3 linked regions of the Oryctolagus cuniculus genome follow. The protein of the gene in region 2 interacts with the protein of the main gene of each other region in a pairwise test. Links are inferred from orthologs where the notes say so. Each region holds a gene or a part of one and is shown on either strand. Other genes may lie near its edges. The genes, in order: FA2H, ERLIN1 and AGR3.

The links.
Region 1: the proteins of ERLIN1 (region 2) and FA2H interact in binary tests that used the Homo sapiens proteins (3 or more experiments, as listed by UniProt). The two-hybrid records come from large-scale screens. The link is inferred for Oryctolagus cuniculus from reciprocal best matches to the Homo sapiens genes ERLIN1 and FA2H.
Region 3: the proteins of ERLIN1 (region 2) and AGR3 interact in binary tests that used the Homo sapiens proteins (3 or more experiments, as listed by UniProt). The two-hybrid records come from large-scale screens. The link is inferred for Oryctolagus cuniculus from reciprocal best matches to the Homo sapiens genes ERLIN1 and AGR3.

What each region holds. Positions count from the first base shown.
Region 1 is NC_091449.1:57,268,095-57,275,984, forward strand, and holds part of FA2H (fatty acid 2-hydroxylase), read right to left. Parts: intron 5,634-7,890; coding exon 5,461-5,633; intron 3,741-5,460; coding exon 3,488-3,740; exon of another isoform or gene 3,341-3,487; intron 901-3,340; coding exon 821-900; 3' UTR 1-820. UniProt on the Homo sapiens protein: Catalyzes the hydroxylation of free fatty acids at the C-2 position to produce 2-hydroxy fatty acids, which are building blocks of sphingolipids and glycosphingolipids common in neural tissue and epidermis.
Region 2 is NC_091446.1:29,937,633-29,945,832, reverse strand, and holds part of ERLIN1 (erlin-1), read right to left. Parts: intron 7,084-8,200; coding exon 7,037-7,083; intron 6,222-7,036; coding exon 6,160-6,221; intron 3,899-6,159; coding exon 3,773-3,898; intron 1,236-3,772; coding exon 1,162-1,235; intron 1-1,161. UniProt on the Homo sapiens protein: Component of the ERLIN1/ERLIN2 complex which mediates the endoplasmic reticulum-associated degradation (ERAD) of inositol 1,4,5-trisphosphate receptors (IP3Rs).
Region 3 is NC_091447.1:8,506,436-8,514,635, reverse strand, and holds part of AGR3 (anterior gradient protein 3), read left to right. Parts: intron 1-845; exon of another isoform or gene 846-1,087; intron 1,088-3,628; 5' UTR 3,629-3,658; coding exon 3,659-3,764; intron 3,765-8,200. UniProt on the Homo sapiens protein: Required for calcium-mediated regulation of ciliary beat frequency and mucociliary clearance in the airway. Might be involved in the regulation of intracellular calcium in tracheal epithelial cells.

The sequences.
Region 1 (7,890 bases), on a different chromosome or scaffold from region 2:
CCGGGCGGGAGACGAGGTGCACCATGAAGGCTGCTTGTGGCTCCAGGAGGCACTGGCTGGCAGGGTCCTGAGTGGGGGCCGGTGCAGGCCACGCGTGGCTGAGGCTGGGTGGGGCTCCTGCCAATGGAGGGGCCTCGCGACCAGCCCTGGGTGGGGGCAGCTCTGTGGCTCTGGAGGCAGGGAGCAGCTGGTGACACCAGGGCTCCCACCAGCAGTCCCCCGGCCCTTGCACAGGCTGGGGAGGGCACCATGTGGTGCTGCGCGCCTGGCAGCAGAGGCACAGCTGGCTACTGTGGTCGGCAGGACAGGTGGAGGGGCTGCCGTGGGACCTGGGCTGGTTCCTGGGAGGCGTCATGCATCCCTTCCGGTGTGACTCCTTCATCATCGCACGTGGTGAGACGTCTTCATCCGCCTCGTGGCCACCAAGCCGACCTCAGGAAGGCAGGAGGGGTGGACAGGGCTGCAGGCTCCCACGGAGCTGGAGGTGCTGAGGCGCTGGGGGCCATGGGGCTGGCTCTGGGGTCAGTTTCCATCATTCCCCTGGGGGCTGCTGCCCTTGGCTGGTCCTGCCAACAGTCCCATGGGCTGGGGCTCCCTGCTAGGCCGCCAGCGTGGAGACCAGGCCCGTGTGTGACCCTCCCGGGGTGGCCAGGAAGGCAGTCTGGCCTCAGGGTCTCCTTGGCACCTTCTACCAAGCCCCAGGGTGGGACAAGGCCATGCTGCCTGGCCCAGCCAAGCTCTGTAGCAGAGTTTGGATGGGGGTGGGGGAGCAGGGGCCAGGGCGGGGCTGAGGACAGGTGAGGGGCGGTGCTGGGAGTTGTCACTGTGTCTTCGCATGGGGTTCCTCTGGGATGAGGGTGTGGAAAAAGTAATCCCATAATTTAGTGCTGATGCCGAAGCCTGCACAGGGAGACAGACGGGGAGAAGGTGAGGCAGTGCAATAGGAGCCGGGTCAGCGTGCTCGGGGAGTGAGCCAGGAGGGCACAAGCCAGCCTTTCTAGGCCCTGGGGCCATCCTGGCAGAGGCCCGGCCCAGCACCTGCCTTTCCTGTGTCCCCAGGGCGTGGTGGGAACTAACCCAGGTTGCTTATCTGACCTGGGATCCTGGGACAGCCCCAGCCTGCCTGCTTCCCTCTCTCCCACCTCCAGCCTCTTCCGGGTCCTCACAGTTCACCCCTGCCCCAGAGCTGCTGCCTCCTGGGGCCACGCTGGCCACACATTGGGGACACCGGCTTTTCTTCTTGTGGTTCTTAGCTCTGCTGGCAGCTCTGCAGTGCCCCCTTCCTGGGCCGTTTTTCTAGAGCTTTGCTGCCCAGCACGTGGCTTCTGTGTACTGGAAATGTGCCTGCACTCACCGCGGAACTATTGCTTTCACTTCATTAAGTTTCAGTGCAAACACGGACAGTTCGGCTACTAGAAAACGTTGAGGCATGTCTGGGGCAACTTACGTATGTGAGTCTACTTTTAGATTTTCAGTTTTATGAATCCTAGATACAGATCAAGTATTTCCAGTGAAAATGCAGCAATTAAATTGAGATGTAATGTCAGGGCAAAATAGACCCTGAATTTCAAAGACTTTGTCTAGGGGCTGGCGCTGTGGCATAGCTGGTAAAGCCGCTGCCTGCAGCACCAGCATCCCATATGGTCACCGGTTCGAGATCTAGCTGCTCCACTTCCCATCCAGCTCTCTGCTATGGCCTAGGAAAGCAGTAGAAGATGGCCCAAGTCCTTGGGCCCCTACACCCACGTGGGAGACCCAGAAGAAGCTCACGGCTCCTGGCTTTGGATTGGTGCAGCTCCGGCCATGGCGGCCATCTGGGAAGTGCACAAGTGGATGGAAGACCCCTCTGTCTGTCTGTCTGTCTGTCTCTCTCCCTCTCTCTCTCTCTCTGTGTGTGTCTCTCCTTCTCTCTCGGTGTAACTCTGACTTTCAAGTAAATAAATATATTTAAAAAAAAAAGACTTTGTCTAAGAGAAAGAATGTAAGATATCCCATTACCAGTGTTTTATGTCAGTTACATGTTAGAATAGTATGTTGGTTATATTTGATTAAATGGATACTTTATTAAAATGCTTTTTAGGACCAGGCATTTAAGACCCATGTGCTGGGGCCGGCGCTGTGGTATAGTAGGTTAAGCCCACACCAGCACCCCATTTGGTGCCAGTTAGAGTCCTGGCTGCTCCTCTTCCGATCCAGCTCTCTGCTATGGCCTGGGAAGGCAGTGGAAGATGGCCCAAGTGCTTGGGCCCCTGCACCCATGTGGGAGACCCAGAGGAAACTCTTGGCTCCTGGCTTTGGATTGGCTCAGCTCTGGCCTCTGTGGCCATTTGGGGAGTGAACCAGCAGATGGAAAATCTCTTTCTCTGTCTGTAACTCTGCCTCTCAAATAAATAAATACATTTTTTTAAGTCCCATGTTCTATAGCAGTGTGTGGTTTTCATTCCAGGCTCCTGTTCCAGCTCCCTGTTAGTGCAGACCCTGGGAGGCAGAAGTCATGGCTCAAATAATTGAGTCCCTGGTGCCCACATGGGAAGTCTGGCTTCTAGCTTTGGCTCTGGCCCAGCCCCATCTATTGTGGGCATTTGAGGAATGGATTAGCAGAAGGGAGCTCTCTGCCCCATAAATTAAAAAAATGATTTTCAGTTCTATCTTTTTACTATAAAGTTATTTATTTATTTGAGAGGAAGAGAGAGAGACAGACACAGAGAGATAGTCTATTTACCAATTCATTCCCCAAATGATTGCAACAGTTGGGGCTGGGTCAGAGCCTAGGTCAGAAGCTGGGAACTCAATCCAGGTCTCCCACATGGGTGGCAGGAACCCAATTACTTGAACCATCACTGCTGCCTGCTAGGAGCTGCATTAACACAAATGTGGAGTCAGAGCTGGAGTTGCGTGTTAAACCCAGGTACTCTCAGGTGGGATGTGGGCATCCTAACCAGTGGCTTAACTGCAAAGCCAAATGCCTGTTTGTTTTTTACTTTTAATGTGGCCACTAGAAAGTTTAAAATCATCTATGCGGCCTGCATAGTACAGCTATCACCTGTCACTTGGTGGGGATGTGTTTTGAGAAATGTCTTGCTGGGCAGTTCCATCATGGTGAGAACATCGGTGTACTTACACAAACTAAGGCAGCTGTAATGAGATGAAGTGCTATAGTCCTACACGACCACTGCTGTATCCAGGGTCCACGGCTGACCACCACAATCTTGTTGTGTGGTGCATGACTGCATTTTAATGGGCAGTGCTGGGCCCCCTCCCCCCACCCAGGGTTACTCAAGTATCACCTTGCTTTATTTTCCTTTAATGGCATTTCTGTTCCTTGTCTGTCTCTGCACAGCCACCTGCACCCGTGAGCAGGATGGAGGAAGCTCTGTGTGTGCCCCAGCACCGAAGACAACGCCTGGCCCTTCGCAGGGATTCAACAGCTGTTGTCCAGTCGATCCCGGGCCAACAGGGGAGGCGGGGAGGCTCCAGCCTGTCTCACCTGACTTCTGATGTGCAAAGTGGTGCTTGACGTGGTGCGCCTTCATGCTGTACAGGTAGGAGCCCTTGTTCGGCGAGCCAAAGTGCAGGTAGTAATGGGTCATGTCGTAGAGGACATAGCCCAGGAGGCCCCCAGCGAACATCGTGCCCCCCACCGCCTCGGGCAGGATGAGCCGCAACAACACGTAGAAAAAGGCGATCACCAGAGAGGCCGGCACGGGGGGAAAGACCAGGCGGGAGCCGTCGAAGGGTGCCTGTGGATGGAGAGGCCCGAGTGTCAGAGGTGGCGCTGGCTCGGGGTCGCAGCGTGCCTCACTGGAGACGCTCCCCAAGATGAGCGTGGAGCAGCCCGAATGTTTCCAGTGAGGGGACAGGGACCTGTCTTGGGTGGGCCTGGCGTGTTTGGTGGCTTTGGGAAGGGCAGGCCACCCAAGTCCAAAGCCCTGGAGAGATTGCCCGATCCAGGAACACAGGGCCAGGTGTGACGTGGGAGGGAGCGGATGCAGGTGTGCTGATGGCTCAGGGCCCACCTGGAACTCAAGGGACCACGTGGGCCCTGGTGCCAGACAGGAAGGCTCAAGGGGCTTTCTGGAGACAGGGGGCCTAGCCTGAGGCCTGCGATCTGGGAGGGTGTTCCCGGAAGTGTTGTGCAGAGATGTGGTTTGCACCGCCACCTCCCCACACAAGGCCCTCTGTGCAGGGACAAAGCAGGTGTTGCCAACAGAGATCCGCAGGTGTGGGCCTCCCTTCCTCAAACCATGGCAACAGGGCCAGTGCTGTGCAGGGAAGCAGTGCTCAGACAAAGGCAGGCAGGCTGGGGGCAGAAGGGATAAAAAGCAGGAGGGAGGATGAGGGCGCCCAGGTCAGCAGCGTTTGCCGATTCCTGCAGTGTAAACACTCCTGACGTGGCCAGGGTCAAATTAGGCATGAGCCCAGGCCACAGACCCCTAGACACAAAGGCTTGGGTATCTGAGGAGGTGGCGGTGGGCCACACAAGCTCCTCCTGTCCTTGTGCTGTGCCATGACGGGACTGCGTGTACTGAGGTGGAAATGTCTTGGAAGAGAGAGCCCGAGACAGTCCCTCCAGCCCCCAGAGGGTCCGTTTGTCCCCTGAAGATGGGAAAGTTGACCAATAGGGAGCGATAGATCTGAGATGTCGTGAGGGGGGTGAGGGACAGGGCCTGGACAGCAGAGGCCCGATGGGCTGGCGTCAGCCTAGAAAGAGGACACTGGCCGTGGCACCTCTTAGAGCCAGGCTGGCCCAGGACTGGATGTTCACCCAGATACAGGCTGCCACGTGAGACTCCCAGAACACAGCTCAGCACTGGGAAGAACAGGAGGGCAGCCCACCCCAGCAGAGAAGAGAAAGTGGGGGAAGGCCCTGCCTTGGAGGAGATGGCGGCGAAGGGGCCCCTGGGCCAGGCCGAGGACAGCACTGTGCAGGCACAGCAAAGCTGCCAGGGGGAGGTAGCTCCCTGGGGCCGACCTGGCTTCCAGTCCCACCTCTGGGCTGATACTCCCAGGGCCAGCGGGTGCTGGTGAGAGCAGCCACATGGTGGGGGACAGCGTGCTGGTTGTGCCTGCCTGACCCTGGGTGAGTCCCTTAGTACATTAATTCCCCCTGGCCTACTTCCTGCTCTGTGGAATTGGGGAAAACTGCAGGTGCTTCGCCTGCTTGGGTCACTGATGCTTGGCACATGGTAGGCATTCAGCCTCAGAACACTTGCAGAATGAATGAGTGAATGAGCTGTGCAGATTCACGAGGCTCATGGAGGGTGACGCAGAGGCACACGTGCACACATATGTACACACACGCACAGCATTTACATGCATGCTTATGCACACATGTGCACACACATACTCACTCACTCACTGTCCCGTCTTGCTCAGATTAGGATGCCTGGGCCCGTCTCCCCCCTGTGCAGCCTCCGATGCCTCGGGTTTGCCGATGTCCCACCCCACGGCCACACCCACCTTGTGGTGCTGGCCGTGCAGCACGAAGTGCAGCGTGATGAGGCAGTAGCTGTCGCTGGGGGGCTTCATGTGGAACAGGAAGCGGTGGATGAGGTACTCAATGAGGCTCCACAGGAACATGCCCAGCACGAAGAGGCCGGGGAACGCGGACTCGGGCACCGCCACCGAGTACTCTGCAGGGGCGGCAGAGAGGGGGGCAGGCAGGGTCAGGGCCAGCGGGTCCCGGGTGCAGCAGCGCCTGCCTGGCGGCTCCAAACGTCCCTGTTTCATCACCCGGGGCAGCGTGGGAGTGGCTGCCCTCTGTCCAGCACCTGTGGCGTCCTGGCCCTGTCGTTGGGGCAGAACGGGAAGGAGGCCGAGAGGGTCTGTTGTGGTTTAGGAGAGAGCTGCTCTTTTCCCTGGGGGGGTGGGTAGAGCTGCAGGAGGGGAAGGGGACCAGCAGCTGAGCCGGTGGGGTCAGGGGCTACGGATGAAAGACATCGCTCAGAGCCTGCAGGGCCAGAGGACAGGAAGAGCCAAGGACAGGGGTGTTAGGGAGAAGCAGCTGGGGGAGATCTGGAAGTAGCAGATGAGGCCAGCCTGGAGACGGACCGTCAAGGGCAAGGGGCCCACTCTCCAGTCCCCCCACCCCCCATGACCCCTGTGGTCCCTGCAGCTCTGTGTCATTCCTCCACTTGGCTCATTCTTTGGCCTCCTGGGAACTTCACCTCTCACACCTGTCTCCTCCATTTCCATCCTCACCCTCTTAGCTTTTCCTTTCTCCACAAACCATTGCTTGGGCCATGCTTTCTCTTTTTAGGTAGCAGCTTTATTGAAACATGACATGTGAGCATGCAGCTCATCGTATGAAGCACGATCCGTGGTTTGGAGTCTTAGAGTTGTGCAGTCACCACCACGGTCATGGTTAGGACATTTATTTTTTTATTTATTTTATTTTTTGACAGGCAGAGTGGACAGTGAGAGAGAGAGACAGAGAGAAAGGTCTTCCTTTGCCGTTGGTTCACCCTCCAATGGCCGCCGCGGCCGGCGCGCTGCGGCCGGCGCACCACGCTGATCGGATGGCAGGAGCCAGGTGCTTATCCTGGTCTCCCATGGGGTGCAGGGCCCAAGCACTTGGGCCATCCTCCACTGCACTCCCTGGCCACAGCAGAGAGCTGGCCTGGAAGAGGGGCAACCGGGACAGAATCCGGTGTGCCGGCGCCGCTAGGCGGAGGATTAGCCTAGTGAGCCACGGCGCCGGCAGACTTTTTTTTTTTTTTTTTTTTGACAGGCACCTATGTGGTTCAGCTTGGGAGCAGCTGCTGGGCTGGTTTCCAAAGCCAGTGATTCTCCTTGGATCTTTCCTCCTTCCCTGGTTCCATTCACCCCAGGCCTCGATCAGCACCAGAGTCTGCCACTCCATCTCGTACCCAGGCGGCTTGGCCAGCTGCTGGTGTGTTCAACTTCAGCAAGACCCCAAGCCCTGCCTGGTGGTCCTTCAGCATCTACCACTCCTCTCCGCCCTCAGACACCCTCCCCCCTTCCACGCAGCCTCCGCTTCACGGAGAAGACAGGCCTATTGTGGGGCAGGGCGGGGCGAGCTGTCGCCTCCAGTCCTCCCTTCCTCCTCTGTCCACCTGGGGCATCCTTGTTGCTTCCTGGGGAGGCGTGACCCAGGCAGGCTCCAGGCCATGGGTGATCAGGAAAAGACATGGCGGCAGACACAGGTGGCCCAATGCCGCACTTCGGTGGTTCTACGTTCTGTCACCACACCCTTATGTGAGGGTGCGCTGGCACTGCCTCCGCGAGGCGGGTGTGGAGGAACAGGCGGCCGTCACCACTTGCCAGGGTCACCCTACTAGGCAGCCGCCTCCATGCCAGCCAAGTCTCTGGGCACAGCCCCCTCTGCTCATCTTTCACTTCACCTACTGACAGCTGGGCCAGACTCGCACCTCCACCTCACTGGTTCCTGAGGCCTTATCAAGTCCCTAAAAACTGCCTTCTGCCCTGTTTTCCAGAATTGCAAAGGCCATTCATGATGTATTTCTGCTAAATCAAAGTAATTTTCTGATCCTTCTCCCACTTGGCTGGGCCATGTGACATTAGTGACCACTCTCTTCTTGAATCTGTAACAGCATGCATTCTTCTTCTTCTAATTAGAATATTATTTATGCGAGGAAGACAGAGAACTCCCACTGCTGGTTCACTCCCCAAATGCCTGCAACAGTGGGGGTTGGGCTGGGCCAAAGCTGGGAGCTGGTAATGTAGTTGGCATTTGGTGGTAGAAACTCAGTTCGTGGAGAGAATCCAACTATTTGAGCCATTGCTGCTGCCGCCCAGGGTGTATATCAGCAGAAAGCTTAAATCAGTAGCCAGAGTCAGGGATCAAAGCCCAGCACACGGATGTGGAAGGTGGGCCTGATCATTAGGTCAAATGCCTGACTATGCATT
Region 2 (8,200 bases):
ACTTTGGCAGTTTCCCCTCAGGCATTCTTTAGATAACAGCACAGCATGAATGAGGCCACAGGAGAAAATTCACCCATCATTCCAGGGTGGTTTATGAGAAGCAAGCATGATCACACACAGTGAATGTACACGGTCAACAGCGGTGCCACTGACCACAAAGAACTGAGACACATGTGACACCCCAGGAAGCTGCAGCAATATTCACCACAACAATCAACTCATCTACCGCAGTCTCTGAAATGGGACACTAGAGAAGTCGGCTTACCACTTTTCAGGCACTCCAGATCCACAGTAGTGGCTTTCAAAAAGTACTGCCCATGATGACAGTAAGAAACACGTTTGTTTTGACACCAATATAAATACCACCCCCATATACTTAAAGTTTCACGAGTTACTTAAACTTACTACATGCCATTTCTTTTCCTATTCTATTCCATTCTATTTAAAATGCTGGTCATGACCTACTAAAAATGATTTTACAACCCATTAATGGATTTCAATCACAACCCATTAATGGATTTCAACCCCAAATCTGAAAACACAATGATTCAGAAAAGGGTGTAATCTCTTACTATTCTATCTCCACATACTACTGCCACACTCACTATTAAGTCCAACTGCTACTCAGGCCATCCACCCACTGAAATACCCAGTTCTCAGTCCTCTCACAGAATTTTCAATGAACTTTTCCATACCTACCTAAAATCTTAACACAGTCACAACCTTCCCAGACCACACAGAAATGGTCTCTTACAGCAATAACCACCCTGTGAATTCATTTGGCAACTGAAACTTTGTGATATTTATTTTGTCTAGAATTATTGTTCAACTCTTAGATTTCAAGTCTTTTTTCATAAACTGAGGGCAAGGATTACTCTTATACTGATTTATAACCATCACAGTATTTAAATAATGTATCACAAAGGCAGAAATAAGAATTCTATTTTTTCTAAGAGCCTCAGTTTATCAATTTTCTCTAAGTATTCACAAGAAAGTGCCATTAATAAGCTACAAGAGTATTTTATTTTTGTGGAAACCTAAAGTCAAATTGAGAAAAGTATTCTACAAATTACCATAGCACTTCAGTATTTTAAATATGATAGGAGGATTAAACTCAAAACCCTCAAAATTGCCGACAAGTTCCCTTGGAAGAGTGCTTACCTGTATGGTGAGACCTGGGGCCATGACGTTTAAATCTTTCTGTAGAGCTTGTTTCAGGTTTTCATCTATTTGATCTGTTTTCAAAGCCAAGAAGAAAAGATCTCATGATACTCAATTTTTCTCACAACACATTAAAGCCAAAGCAAAGGCACGATCCAATAACCTAAGTATTAGTCCTAAAGTTCAATAGTATTATCTTTTAGTAGAGCTTAAACTGCTTCATATATGTATTTTCCTTTTGTGTAGGAGAAAAGTGTGGTGATCTATTAAAGAAATTAAGGAAGAAGATGACAAGTGTCAGGAAAAGAGGTGCAGAATAGAGAGGAGGCAGTATATGAATCTACAGCCTGACCGAATTTACTCAGAGAAAATAAATACACAGAGATGGGTCATGTGACCAGCTGCCGGTGTGCACACTGATAGAACATGTAGCAGAATGCCCTGGCCCCAGGGGATGGGCCCTTTTATAGCTTAGGAGGGACAGGGATGGAGTTGGGGGTGGGGGTAGCAGGCAGAGGTGAATTCATGGAACTGGTCTTTCAGGGGCCTTGGGAATCTGGAAAAGAATGTGGGGATGGAGTATGAAGGCAGTAAGATGTGAAATCCAAGTGAGATTCAAGGACAAGGAATAAATTCCAATGTTTATCCATCTTTTGGGCAATGAGCAAGAATGGCTGAGGCTTATGTCTTTGTTCCATCAACAAGTAACTAGTCTGTTTATCCAATAAGCTTATTATTGAACTTTGGACAAGTTATTTATTAGATAATTTTTTTTTGCCAAATGTTCTTTTTTATTTATTAGAAAAGTTTAATATTAGACTTAATAAAAAAGCTTACTGTATAGAATCTATCTATCCCATAAATGGAGAATTTGGGTCTCTTGTTTATTAATTCACGGCTACTACTTAATGCGCAATCTGATTCTCATAAAAAAGCAAATTTCTCTCTTAAGTCAATGTTAATTCAGATTTCCAAACAACTAAATTTCATTCCCACACACCTCAATCTTACATTTACCTTTGGATTTTAAAAGAAAGGAAAAAAGTTCATAGAAAAGTCTCTGAAACACACACAGAATGTACAGTAATAATGTCATCTCTTCACGTGATGCAGCAGAGTTCATGCGAAGACCTGAGACTGCAGTCCTTACTTACAAAGGCCTATTTGTTAACTGGCCCTTAGTTGGCAGCTGGGAACCTGGATTTGGGGAGGGTCCCTGGCATCCCCTGAATTGATACAAGAAGCTCACGGTCCCTAAACCATTGACATAAACAATGTGGTTTACCCTGAACATCTGCTTTTCTCCTGGGAGACAGGAATTTTAGTATCGGTTGGCAGAGGGTACACCTATGTGACCAGACCTCAACAACACTCACAGCACTGAGTCTTGTTTTTTTTAAAGATTTATTTATTTATTTGAAAGTCAGAGTTACACAGGGAGGGAAAGAGAGACAGAGAGAGAGGGAGAGGTCTTTCATCTGCTGGTTTACTTGCCAGATGGCCAAAATGGCTGGAGCTGCGCCAATCCAAATCAGGAGCCAGGAGCTTCCTCCAGGTCCTCCCATGCAGATGCAGGGGCCCAAGGACTTGGGCCATCTTCTACTGCTTTCCCAGGCCATAGCAGAGAGTTGGATTGGAAGTGGAGCATCTGGGACTTGAACCAGTGCCCATATGAGATTCGGGCACTGCAGGCAGTGGCTTTACCTGCTATGTCACAACACGGGCCCCATGTCACAGGGCCAGCCCCAACACTGAGTTTTTTTTTTTTTTTTTTTTTTTTTTTACAGGCAGAGTGGACAGTGAGAGAGACAGAGAGAAAGGTCTTCCTTTTGCTGTTGGTTCACCCTCCAATGGCTGCTGCGGCCAGCACACCGCGCTGATCCGATGGCAGGAGCCAGGTGCCTCTCCTGGTCTCTCATGTGGGTGCAGGGCCCAGGCACTTGGGCCATCCTCCACTGCACTCCAGGGACACAGCAGAGAGCTGGCCTGGAAGAGGGGCAACCGGGACAGAATCCGGCTCCCCAACCGGGACTAGGACTAGAACCCGGTGTGCCGGCGCCGCAGGCGGAGGATTAGCCTATTGAGCCACGGCACCGGCCAAGACTGAGTCTTTAATGAACTTCCTCAGTAGACAACATTTCCCATGTGTTGTCACAACTTGTTACCAGGAGAATTCAATACAACCTGTGTTGACTTCACTGTGAGAGGACTCTTGGAAGCCTGTGTCTGGTTTCCTTCAGACTTTACCTATATGCCTTTTCTTTTTGCTGATTTCACTTTTCATCTTTTGGGTGTAATAAATTGTAGTCATGAATATAACTTTATGCTGAGTCTTGTCAGTCTTCCTACGAAATTACTTGGTGTAGGGGGAGAAGGGGGAATTTGGGGAGCCCAGAAACTAAATTTCCTCAAATTATCTACTAAGTAGTAATAAAGCTAATGTCATTAAGTTAACATAACACAACACAGTGAGTAAATGAAGTTACTCTAATCTCTACCAAGTTATATAATTGCTTTATTATAAACTCAAAAGAAATTATCATAGCATAAGGTATACTACTACAGCATTGATAAATGAGTTTTACAAGATATCCAATAGGCTATTACTTACCAAACAATTCAATGTAAACTTCTTGAAGTGTGTGGGCACTGCAAAACTGGTTCAGCTCATGGTGGATTTTATTGAAGATTAAGGTCTTATCATAATCTGCAGTGTAGTTCCTCACGATATCAAACACTGAAGGAGAGGTACAACCCAGGTTTGTTTCACCCAAAAGCACCCAGGTTTCTCAGATTCAGGATAAATATTAAAGTAATAAACCAAAGGGCTTCAAAAAGTTCATGGAAAATGCATACTATGAATTTCACAATTCTAACTTTCAATGAAGTTTTTGAAATCCCTCATACACATTATGAAAACATAAAACACAACTCAAAAATTTTGATGTGTTTCTTCTGCTCAATTTTCCAGATATCCTTGCATTTGCTTGCAGTACTAATAGATAAACCTCAAATTCCATACTAAGAAGAGCAAACAAAATTTTTATTTTGGTGTCTTTGTGAAGATGAACTGAGAGGCACAGAGTTCAGAGGCACACAGGGAGAATCTAAGACAATTAGTGTAAAGTAAAAGCTTAGGTAAGAAGTAAAGAGGAAGTGAACTAATTAAGGAACAGTGGAGATAAAAGAAGGAAGCAGCTGTAAAAGACTTTTTTTTTTTTTTTTTTTTTGACAGGCAGAGTGGACAGAAAGAGAGAGAGAGAGACAGAGAGAAAGGTCTTCCTTTTGCCGTTGGTTCAACTTCCAGTGGCCGCCGCGGCCGGTGTGCAGCGGCTGGCGCACCGCGCTGATCCGATGGCAGGAGCCAGGTACTTATCCTGGTCTCCCATGGGGTGCAGGGCCCAAGCACTTGGGCCATCCTCCACTGCACTCCCTGGCCACAGCAGAGAGCTGGCCTAGAAGAGGGGCAACCAGGACAGAATCCGGCGCCCTGATTGGGACTAGAACCCGGTGTGCCGGCGCCGCAAGGCGGAGGATCAACCTATTGAGCCACGGCACCGGCCAAAAGACTGTATTTTTAAAAGGCAGTTTTTAAAGACTATAAAAAGACACCAGGTTAGAAGGGAAAGGAACTAATACTGGGCTAAGCTTTAGGTCAGACAATTTATATACATTAGCATGTAATATACCTGCCAAAAATCTCATCTTACATATTAGCAAACTAAGATTTCCTAAAAGAACCTCAGAAATGTCTCAAAAGGTACATACCAAGTCATATCAGAAACTATGCTCTACCTACAAAACTTGCGTTCTGTTTCTTCAGACCCAGCGACTTGCTTCACAGCCTTCCCATACCAGATACTACATGCAAACGGATTCCAGATCACAACTGATGATAGACCATTAACAGACACTGACATTCTTTGGGCATTTTCCAAATGAATTGGTGATTTCAGAGTTTCCTATTTATCTCTGCTTACAGACCCATAAATTCCCTCCCTTCTTCTATTTCCAATCATCTATTCCAATCATTTGTGATGAGCAAAAATAGGTGAAAAAAAAATGAGGGAAATACTTAATCTCTGAAAAACATGATCAAAATCCCTTTGACCAGAATATATATGTTCTCTGCTCTGAAATATTTTCAGTTTTATTCACGGTGATCTAAGTTCTTGATTTAAATAGTACCCATTCTAGGTCTGTGGACTTTTTTTTTTTTTTTTTCCAGGCAGAGTGAACAGTGAGAGAGAGAGAGACAGAGAGAAAGGTCTTCCTTTTGCCGTTGGTTCACCCTCCAATGGCCGTCACGGCCGGCGCATTGCGCTGATCCAAAGCCAGGAGCCAGGTGCTTTTTCCTGGTCTCCCATGCGGGTGCAGGGCCCAAGCACTTGGGCCATCCTCCACTGTACTCCCGGGCCATAGCAGAGAGCTGGCCTGGAAGAGGGGCAACCAGGACAGAATCCGGCGCCCCGACCAGGACTAGAACCTGGTGTGCCGGCACTGCAAGGCGGAGGATTAGCCTATTGAGCCACAGTGCCGGCCGTGGACTTTCATCTTTTACCAAGAAAATGCTTTCCTCTCACTGAAGACTTTCAGATTGCTTTGCAACTTACAGCAAATACCAATTAGAAAAGATTCTTTTGACAAATCACTGTGGCCCAAGGAAGAGATTATTTATAGATTTTTAGCACAGAAGGAAATGATCTCTCATCCTGACTGGATAAAATGCTACTATCTCATTCCAGAAATAATCAATAATCAATAATCTGGCTCTTGGAAACACTAAGCTCGGAGAAGAGTAATTCATATGGTTGCAGTCTGTTGCCCACAATTTGTGACCTATTTCTGTCTCCGTTTCCTAGAAATAGAAAATATTCTAGTAATTATTCTCTAAATAAACTTTAAAAGTACTTTTCTATTTTCCGGGGAATCTTCTAGTTAGAAAGAATCTGGTTATAGCTATAAGTAACATACCATAAGCTATAAGTACTAACATACCTGCATAAGGAGCCAACATATTAACCACTTCTATTCGGTCAATATAGATCATGACTCCACCACTAAAAACAAAGACAGGAGAAAGTGTGAGCCATTAAAGGAATCCATAAAAGAGAGGTACAGATAGCCCTATGAAGAAACTAATAATCAAATATATTAACTCAAAACACCAGGTCTGCTTCATATTATTTTGATACAATTCAATATGGTGATTATGTTCTAGAAATAACCTCGACCTTGCTTGCCTTTCTTTCTCTAGGTCAGCAACCTTAAAAGTGAGGTCTTTAGAACAACAGCAAAAATGCTGGGAATTTATATAAGAAACACAAATTCTCAGGCCTCATCCAGACCTACCAAATCAGAAACTCTAACATCGGATGGCATTTACTACTATACAGGAGAACGTGAGATGACATAATTTTAAACTACCTTTCACTGAACACCTGCTCTAGGCCAAGTGCTGGGCTAACCACATCATATACATTAATTCTAATCCTTAAAAAAGTAACTCTGTAAGACAGATCTTACATTACTCAATTTTTACAAATGAGGAAACTAACCTTAGAAAAGTCAGTAAAGACAAAGGGTTAAATGAGACCTCTGTACTTTCTGCTCAATTTTACTATTTCTCTGAACAATAAAGTATACGAAGCGAGATCATCAGGCTCTAAAACTTCATGCATTTTTCAGTAACACCCTTATGGCTACTAAGACGGAAAGCTTGTATTTTAGAGATGGGTCTTTGCTAACAATGCTCAGATCATAAACTTCTCTGGGTTACTTTCATTCCTATTTGAAAGATGTTCAGTGATCAACACACTTGAGCAGAAGCTCCATCTGAGCTAATAGGAGATTACTAAGCAAGGAGAAAACTTACCTCGTTCCACAAGGCACATTTTTAACTTCATCAGTTTGTAGTGTTGTCTAGGGAGGAAAAAAACAGCATCAATACTTCAGACACAATTCGTCAGAGTACTAGTGGTCCCAGAAGCAAACCTCAGGAGAGCTGCTGGGAGTAAGCACAGGACAGCTCCAGGCCCCAAAATTGAACTATCAGAGTAGTCATTTCCTTTTGTATCTTAGAATTGAAGTATTTGAGAAAGAAAACATTTCATAGCTAATGTTTGAATCCAGATGCACTGGGAAAGGTTCAATGTTCAATCTGTTGGTAAGTGGAAAATTCTGCCAGAGTCCCTTATTCACCTGGAGCTGAATTGAAATTACACACTTCTTGGCTAATCTATGAGAACACTATGGCTCGGACTTGTGCTCTGGATTTTGATTTCACTGCTAATATTATGGTTTGCACTAAAGACACAAATATCACAAGCATACAAGTACTCTAGGATTACAAGCTGCCCGTGGCTTCAGCAGCAACCTTTCTTCTCTAAAGCTATAGACAACATTTTAGCTCAGGACCTAGTGATCTCTCATGTGTTCCATTCAGTTTCTCTTTTAATAAAAGTGCCACCACCAGTACTGCTTCCTTCGACTGAACCAGCAATCTGGCACTTGATTGCTCTGCCCATGCCACATCTTTGTGCAGATCTAGAATGACTTATTACCTTCTAAAGCCTCAGTTATGTCAGGCAATCTAATGAGTCTAGTCTGGACACACTGCACCTTATCAAGCACATAGCAACATACTCCTTCACAGAATGCAAAAGAAATAGAAAGCAAATCCCTGAAGAGCAGAGGAGATGAAATCCTTACAAAGCAACCCATCAACAGGTATACAACAACAGCATATAAGCTCGGCTTACTAAGTGTTAAGTCACAGAGAGTCAAGTAACAGCTCAAAAAGCTCCCTATAGTGAAATATTCAAAAATCAGGACTAGAGGGAGAGAAATAAGAACAGATGAGACACAGAAACTAAAATTCAATAAAATCATATTCAAATACACAAAGTTGAATACAAACTGCATGTATAGGTGTCAAGAAGACTGGTTTGACTGGGGCAGAAGAGGTAAATTTAAACAGGTGAAATTCTGCGATGAGAACATGGATATTAGAAGAAGGACCTGAATGTTGGCTGGCACT
Region 3 (8,200 bases), on a different chromosome or scaffold from region 2:
TGGGGAAAGTGAATGGAACTGTGTTTTTCTTCTCTTACTGGACTGAATTTCCTTTGCTGGCCTCACAGTTTTATTCTCTATTTATACGGATGTTAGAATATAAACTGGCATCAACCAAAAATGACTCTTTAAAAATTAGTCTATAGGGAACACTGGTTCTTCCCACTATCCTTTGTGTGTATGTGTGTGTGTATGTGTGTTTTAAATATAGAGATTTTTAATACAATATTTAAGTAAGTGGCTTGTGTTGAATTATTTTGAAATGCAAAATGCTATTATTGTAAGAAAATGCTAACTGGACAATGTTTATAAAGGCAAATTGTGCTGTAACCTGCTGTGGCATCATGACCAAGTCTCCTTCATCCCTGTACCCCCTTCATCCCTGTACCCCCTTCAAAGAAGCTTGCCTTTGCAATGGGGACTAAAGCACCCTCAGTCACCCACATTCCACTTCACCAAGGAAAGCACTGTTCATTCAAAACCAACAATGGGCAAGTTGTAGCGCTTTGTTGTAGTCTATTTTAATTTACCAACCATGTAAAACAGAAAACTAAGATTTTGAGTTAAGCAGAAAGTCTTTGGTAATACATAAATACTTGACATTTGAAAGAAAAAAAAAGTTTCCCATTCACCTCTAAATTTGGCAGCTTTAAAATGGCAAGAGAGGGAGTTACACTTTCTAATGTAGATTCCACCTGCTTATCTCCACCTCTAACGTGGAAAACATTGCCAGTACTTCCCGCAGTTGGGTGTTCCCTGAGTCTTCTTTACGTATAAGAAACTTAAGGCAATGTGGGACCATTTTCCCTAGGAAAGTGAACAGAGGCACACACACCCATACATACAGTTTCAGGGAGTTTTGAGCTTCCTGTAGCCATCCACAGACCTTCTAGAAGCTCACTGGATCCAGGTGAACAGGCTGTCCCAGGGGGTCCCTTCATTCTGTCCACTGCCACTTACACCTTGACCAAGGTCCCTGCCCAGGCTTGGCTCTGTGTTCAGACTCAGCTGTCTCTCAGCCCTACTGGAATCCACCCTTGCTTGGATTCAATCTTTAAGGTACAAGATGACCAGCCCTCGGGGTACAGGAAGATATTCTGCAATGTTTTATGGTTTAACAAGTTATAAGAACTTGAATTGAGATCTTTATCTGGCACCATGGTTACTGTTTAACAGAATTGTTTAGTGGGCAAAGACAAGAAAGTAGAACAAAAGGAGTTAGTTGTAGATTCTGGAGGCAAATCATTTAAATTCAGCAAACCTGGAGTGACAACCCTTTCAGTCCAGAGCTGGGCTGGAAGAGACACCCCACTGAGAAGAGGCACACACTGGCACCAGAGGAATGCGGAACTGTCTGGAAAAACCCATCCTCTGTAAACCTCACCACCACCACACTGCTGCTCTCCATGACTACAGTTGTTGTTTACCTGACTACACTATGGCAAGTGCCACTGGTTTTACCAATGCCAAAGCACTGGGCCTGCTTAGAGTTTCAGTTTTGTACAGTGACTAACACAGCTCACTGCAGAAACTTCTATGTATGACCAATCACTGAAGAGTCATTCACTGTACTTCAGCCAGGAAATTGCACTATTTTAGTGAGACGTTCACCACTGAATAACATAAATCATCAGGGGGGAAAAAAACTGTAAAGGAACTTTAAATAAACCTGAAGGACAACTGTCCATCATTTATTTCCTACTTTGAGATGAAGTTTCAGAATTGCATGTGGGATTTATATGCTAAGAATACTGTAACTAAACAACATCTCACAAGTATGGAACATACTTTGTAATGCATTTACCAAGTGGTTTAAGACCAACTCAGGCCACACTCTGGACTTTTGATTAAATCTTACCATGCAAAGTATAAAAAAGAAAAGCACACTAACTTTAGAATCAATTGTAATGTTAGCTAACAAAAAATATGAACTCCACTCTATTCTATATACATATGTTTAAGTCACAGCAATATGCCAATGTTTGATTTTTGGAAAAGAGGTGAAGGGCAGAGGGGCTGAGTGACCATTGGAGTGACTGACCATAAAGGAATTGAAGGACAAGGACTCTTCGTGGTCTAACTTTCCCCTGATTCCTGTTTCAAGCAGTCTTTGTTCATGCTTAGCCTCAGCATGATACAGAGTTAAAATGTTGTTTTAATCACTGGGTCTAGAAGAATCAAGAGGCAAAGGCTATCCCTGGCTGGTAGACCTCACCTTTGTATCGCTCTTTACAATTCCAAGGCCATTAACAAACACCATCTTGTTCGCGTTTCTCTGTGGGGCTGTGCAGTTTGGCAGCAGGTTTCATGTGCCTGTGTTACCAGTGAATGGCAGGGTTCTTGTCTTCGCACAAGAAAGAATTCAGGCATGAGACAGAGTGGTGGAAAGTAAAATAGCAAGGTTTATTAGGGTAGGGATATCCGTAAGAACAGATGGGCACCTCTCCAGACAGAACCTGAGAGAGAGTGCCCAGTCACTTAGACTGGGGGAGAGCGAGGTTCCATGGTTGAGTGGAGAAGACACCTGACCAGGCCAGGTGGGCGGCTCAGCAGAGAGGCAGAGGGCTGAGCGCGCAGTCCAGTTGAGGCCAGGGGTTTTTAAGGAGATGGGTCTTTGTCTTCTCACATCTCCTCCTGAAACAAAAGACTTTATGGGTGTAAATACTAGAAATTCCTATCTGAGTTTTCTCCCAGAAGTTATCAAACAAGAGGAAGCCTAGCTGGTGCCACCCTGGGTTTAGAGGAAGGGTGAGCAAGACCCCCTGGAGGATCTGAGCAGGGTATTTGAAATGCAGATACTGGGCTGCATCTGGAAGATTATCAGGCAGAAGGGGCGGGGACCCCCACCTGGCAGGTTATTGGGTAGAAGGAGCAGGGCAGGATGCAAACACTGGGCTGCCCCTGAAACATTATTGGGATGGCTTTGAGATGCATATGTTGAACCCAAATTCTCCTTAGGCCTTTGTCACACACATAAGCTCATATCTGACTTCCTACCTAACACCTGGATCCAGTTCTCTCTTAGTTGCCTCACCCTATGTGCAGGATGCCCAGAATGTGATTTTTCACCAAGTGAGCATTCACAGAGTTGATTCCACTTCTAAGATATTTATTAAGAATAAAACCTGGGGCTGGCACCATGGCTCACTAGGCTAATCCCCCACCTGCAGTGCCAGTATCCTGGGTTCTAATCCCAGTTGGGGCACGGATTCTGTCCCGGTTGCTCCTCTTCCTGTCCAGCTCTCTGCTGTGGCCCAGGAGTGCAGTGGAGGATGGCCCAGGTGCTTGGGTCCTGTGCCCACATGGGAGACCAGGAGGAAGCACCTGGCTCCTGGCTTTGGATCCACACAGCACGCCGGCCATGACAGCCATTTGGGGGGGTGAACCAATGAAAGGAAGACCTTTCTCTCTGTCTCTCTCTTGCACTGTCTACTCTACCTGTCAGAAAAGAAAAGAAAAGAAAGAAAGAAAAAAGAATAAAACCTGGATGAAAGGGTGGGTAGACTGAGTCAGATTAAGGAAGCAGAATGATTCATCCACACAGGCTGGGACCAGCTCTAAGTAAATGTCTTTTAACATGGCCTGAAGTAACCCAGTAAGGTCCTGAACATTATCTTCTGTCCTCCAGCTTCTCCCGAGGAACGTTCTAGAAGGCACCATGTTACACTATGCTTTGGCTCTCTGCCTCCTCCTTATCACCATCTCTTCTAACCTTGCTATTGCCATCAAAAAGGGAAAGAGGCCTCCTCAGACACTCTCAAGAGGTATGGTATTCTTTATGTCATTTCCTAAACTCAATCATTTGCATTGTTTGAAAAATACTTGATATCTTCACCCATACTCTAGTTATGAAGCAAATTCAATTAACTGAAAGATTTCTATTGTGTGGCTCCAAAGGTGATTTTTAAAGACAAACAGGAAGGATCCATTGAGTTTTGACAGTGAATTAAACCAACTGGGAAAAAATAACAACAATTTCCTGGGCCAAGCATTTGGCCTATATCCCACATTGGAATGCCTGGGTTCAAAACCCACCTCTTGCTCTCATCTCCAGCTTTCTGCTAACATGTGCCCTGGGAGAAGGCCATGATGGCTGAAGTAATTCAGTCACTGCCACTAACGTGGGAGACCTGGAATAAGTTACCAGCTCCTGGTTTTGGCTTGGCTCAGGCCCAGCTGTTGCAGACATTTGGGTAGGGAATCAACAGATGGGAGCTCTGTTCCTGTCTCTGTCTCTCAAAAAAAATCTAAAATTTAAAAAAAAAAAATACATGTCGTATCTTTTAGCAAAAGTAGTGGAGAACTGAATTCCTCTCTACAACTATGATAACCAGAGTCGTAGAGAATGATTAATATGATTGATGGGTATATCATCATAATATCTTAAAAATACCTAAATTCTTCGAAATGTACTCAAATTCCAAGTCCTGCTTATTAAGAAAATAATTTGGACTGATTTTATACAAAGTTACCCAAAAAATTAAACTTTATCCAAATTCCTGAGAATTTAGGCCAGTCTTGCTATATTGATTCCCAAAGACACATGCACCGGTTTTGGGTGTCATAAGCTGGATTTATCATTGGCTTTGGGATTAGAAAACATTTTTCTTTCTGTGATGTTTTTCTTGGCTTAAGAAACAAACATAACTTCAGGTATAAATAGACATTTTTATAAGGGAAAAATTCCCAAAACTGGTTTCTACAATTTCCTGGTAAGTTAGAACCATCTATCCTCACTCGGGGAATTCAAAATCAGCAGTTCAACTACAAGAGCACTTGAGCACTGTTTGGAAAGATCACATGAATAGAGCGAGGAAATGAAGACCTCCTGTGGTATGATTTCAAATTCTAAAACATTTATTTGCTTATCAAGTCCACTCATTTCTTAACAGATGTACTGGGTGCCAGCCAAATGCCTACTGGGGTTTACCTGATAACTCATTCTACTTCAGTTTAGCAATCACAGCAACTATATACTAGAGACTCAGTAACTTTTTGCCAAGGAAATCAATTGAAAGGGAGAAATGTAATTTATTATATATCCCTCTATATAGACATAAAGATAATAGAACAGAGAGGTCAAGTAATTTTTTTTAAAAGATTTATTTATGTATTTGAAAGTCAGTGTTACACAGAGAGAGAAAGAGAGAGAGAGGAGGTGTCTTCCATCCACTGGCCCACTCCCCAGTTGGCCACAACAGCCAGAGCTGTGTGGATCTGAAGCCAGGAGCCAGGAACCTCCCCCAGGTTTCCCAAAGGGGTACAGGGGCCCAAAGACTTGGGCCATCCTCTACCCCTTTCCCAGGCCATAGCAGAGAGCTGGATCGGACGTGGAGCAGCCAGGACTCAAACCAGCAGCCATATGGGAAGCCAGCACTGCAGACTAGGGCTTTAACCCACTGTGCCACAGCACCGGCCCTGGTCAAGTAACACTTTAGTGGCAAAGACTAAACTAGGCATTGACTCTGATGAGCTTCCAGGACTGAGAGAAGCCACGTTGCTACACCTGCACCTACCATAAGACGTCAACATGCTCTGTGCTCACTTTTAAATGTCGGCTTAAAATTTTTTGGTGAATGTTATGAAAAATATATTAAACAGAAACAGCATATGCATACAACTTAATGGATCTCCTATTACAATTATTAATGAACTATTTTGATAGCAAGGATGTGATAATAACTGAGAACCCCATTGTTAAAACTTGGCTTCTATGTAGTTTTGCTTGTTGCCATCTATTGCCATTTAGGAAACCAAGAGAAAAGGCTCAGAATGAATGAGGGTTAAAAGGGGAAGAGGGAAGGATGTGGGTACAGGATGCGAAGTAGCACTTGGAGCCCCTGAAAGCAGAGGGCAGCAGTAAGCAGCTAAATAAACAGACAGTAAGGCGAAAAACAAGATAATTAATTGGATCAAGGCAATAGATGGTTCAAGAAACAAAAGCACAGGTACATACAATGACTCAAAAAATGTCTTACTTCTTTTGAATCAAGACAGCCGCCCAGCACCCAGTGCATTGCCTGACATACTCAATAACACGTATTACAGGAGTGAATGAAACCTCAGAAGGCAAAGAAAGCAAAGACAGTTTACAGGTGGGATTAAAAGCAATGAACAGAGATCCCGAGAGGACCTCAACTTCTGAGTGCCCTTTGCCCTATTATGACTACGAGACAGAACATATCAAAACAAGTAGACTAGAACACAGCTGCTGATGGGGCTGTGAGTGATTCTTTGAGGGTTGGATTATATTACTTAACGTTTGTATTCGCAGTGCCCAGTAAAGTAAGCAGACACTCTTTGATGTTTGTGGACCCATGTTGAATAGGAATACACAATGTAAGTTCTGCCCATTGCTGACACTCCAGCATTGAGTGATGTTTGCAGCAACAGAAGAGGGAAAATTAAGCAGGGGCATAATCACACCTGCTGTTCTAGAACAGCGTTCCTTTGATGTGTAATGAATGTGGGAAGCAGAGTTGGAAGAGAATCAAGATTAGGACAAAGATGAAGTTTCTGCTAAGATGAGGTGTTAGATGAACATGAACATGAAAGAGCCTTCCAATGTTAAGAGTTTCAAAGCAGGCAAAAACAAACCGGCAACATTGCTGGTGTGAATGTGGAATGATGCAGCCACCTTGGGAAAAACAGTCTGGCAGTTCAATTCAGCAGTTTTGCTCCTGTGTGTATACCCACACCAAAGCTTGCACACTTAGGATCACAGCAGCATTACGCATTAAAAAAAGCCAAAAAATGGAAACAACCCAAAGGCCCATCAACTGATGAAAGGATTAGTAAAACGGGGTATAGCAATATAATGCAATGATATTTAATCATCAAAAAGGAATTAAATACTAATGCATGCCACAACATGGATGAATCTTAAGAACGTTATGCTAATTGAAATAATCCAGTGACAAAATATCACATAGCAAATGATTCCATGTATACAAACTGTGCACAGTTAGCAAATCGATGGTATATAGGATCGAGGAAGAAGAAGAGATCTGGGATTGGGGGGCATGATAGCTAAAGGCCACAGGGGTTTTCTTAGGTAATGAAAATGTCCAAAAATGATTGCAGCACAACTTTTTTTTAAGAAATCTTTTATTTAATAAATAAATTTTGAAAGTACAACTTTTGGATTGTAGCGGTTTTCCCCCCATAACCACCCTCCCACCTGCAAACCATCCCATCTCCTACTCCCTCTCCCATCCCATTCTTCATGGATAATCCTCCACCTGCGGTGCCAGCACCCCGGGTTCTAGTCCCGGTTGGGGCGCGGATTCTGTCCCAGTTACTCCTCTTCCAGTCCAGCTCTCTTCTGTGGCCCGGGAAGGCAGTGGAGGATGGCCCAAGTGCTTAGGCCCTGCACCCACATGGGAGACCAGGAGGAAGCACCTGGCTCCTCTCTTCGGATCGGCGCAGCGTGCCGGCCATAGCAGTCATTTGTGGGGTGAACCAACGGAAAAAGGAAGACCTTTCTCTCTCTCTCTCTCTCACTAACTCTGCCTGTCAAAAAAACAAAAAAGATTCATTTTTAATTTTCTTTACATACAAAAGATTAACTTTGTATATACTAAATAAAGATTTCAACAGATTGCACCCACACAGACACACAAAGTATAAAGTACTGTTTGAAGACTAGTTTTACCATTAATTCTCATACTACAACTCATTAAGGACAGAGATCCTACATGGGGAGTAAGTGCACAGTGACTCCTGTTGTTAACAATTGACACTCTTATTTATGATGTCAGTAATCACCCGAGGCTCTTGTCATGAGCTGCCAAGGCTGTGGAAGCCTCTTGAGTTCACCAACTCCAGCCTTATGTAGACAAGGCCATAACCAAAGTGGAAGTTCTCTCCTCCCTTCAGAGAAAGGTACCTCCTTCTTTGATGGTCCGTTCTTTCCGCTGGGATCTCACCCACTGAAATCTTTCACTTAGGTCATTTTTGGCCACAGTGTCTTGGCTTTCCATGCCTGAGAAACTCTCATGGCCTTTTTAGCCAGATCCGAATGCCTTAAGAGCAGATTCTGAGGCCAGAGTGTAGCACAACTTTGTGAATTTTTTTTTACTAGAAAAAGTGTACAGTGTCACAGCTGAGCATGTATTGGTATGTGAGTTGTATTCCAATAGTTACCAAAAACATGAAATCATCTTTAATTTTGCTTCATAATTTCTGGCTATTATTTTTC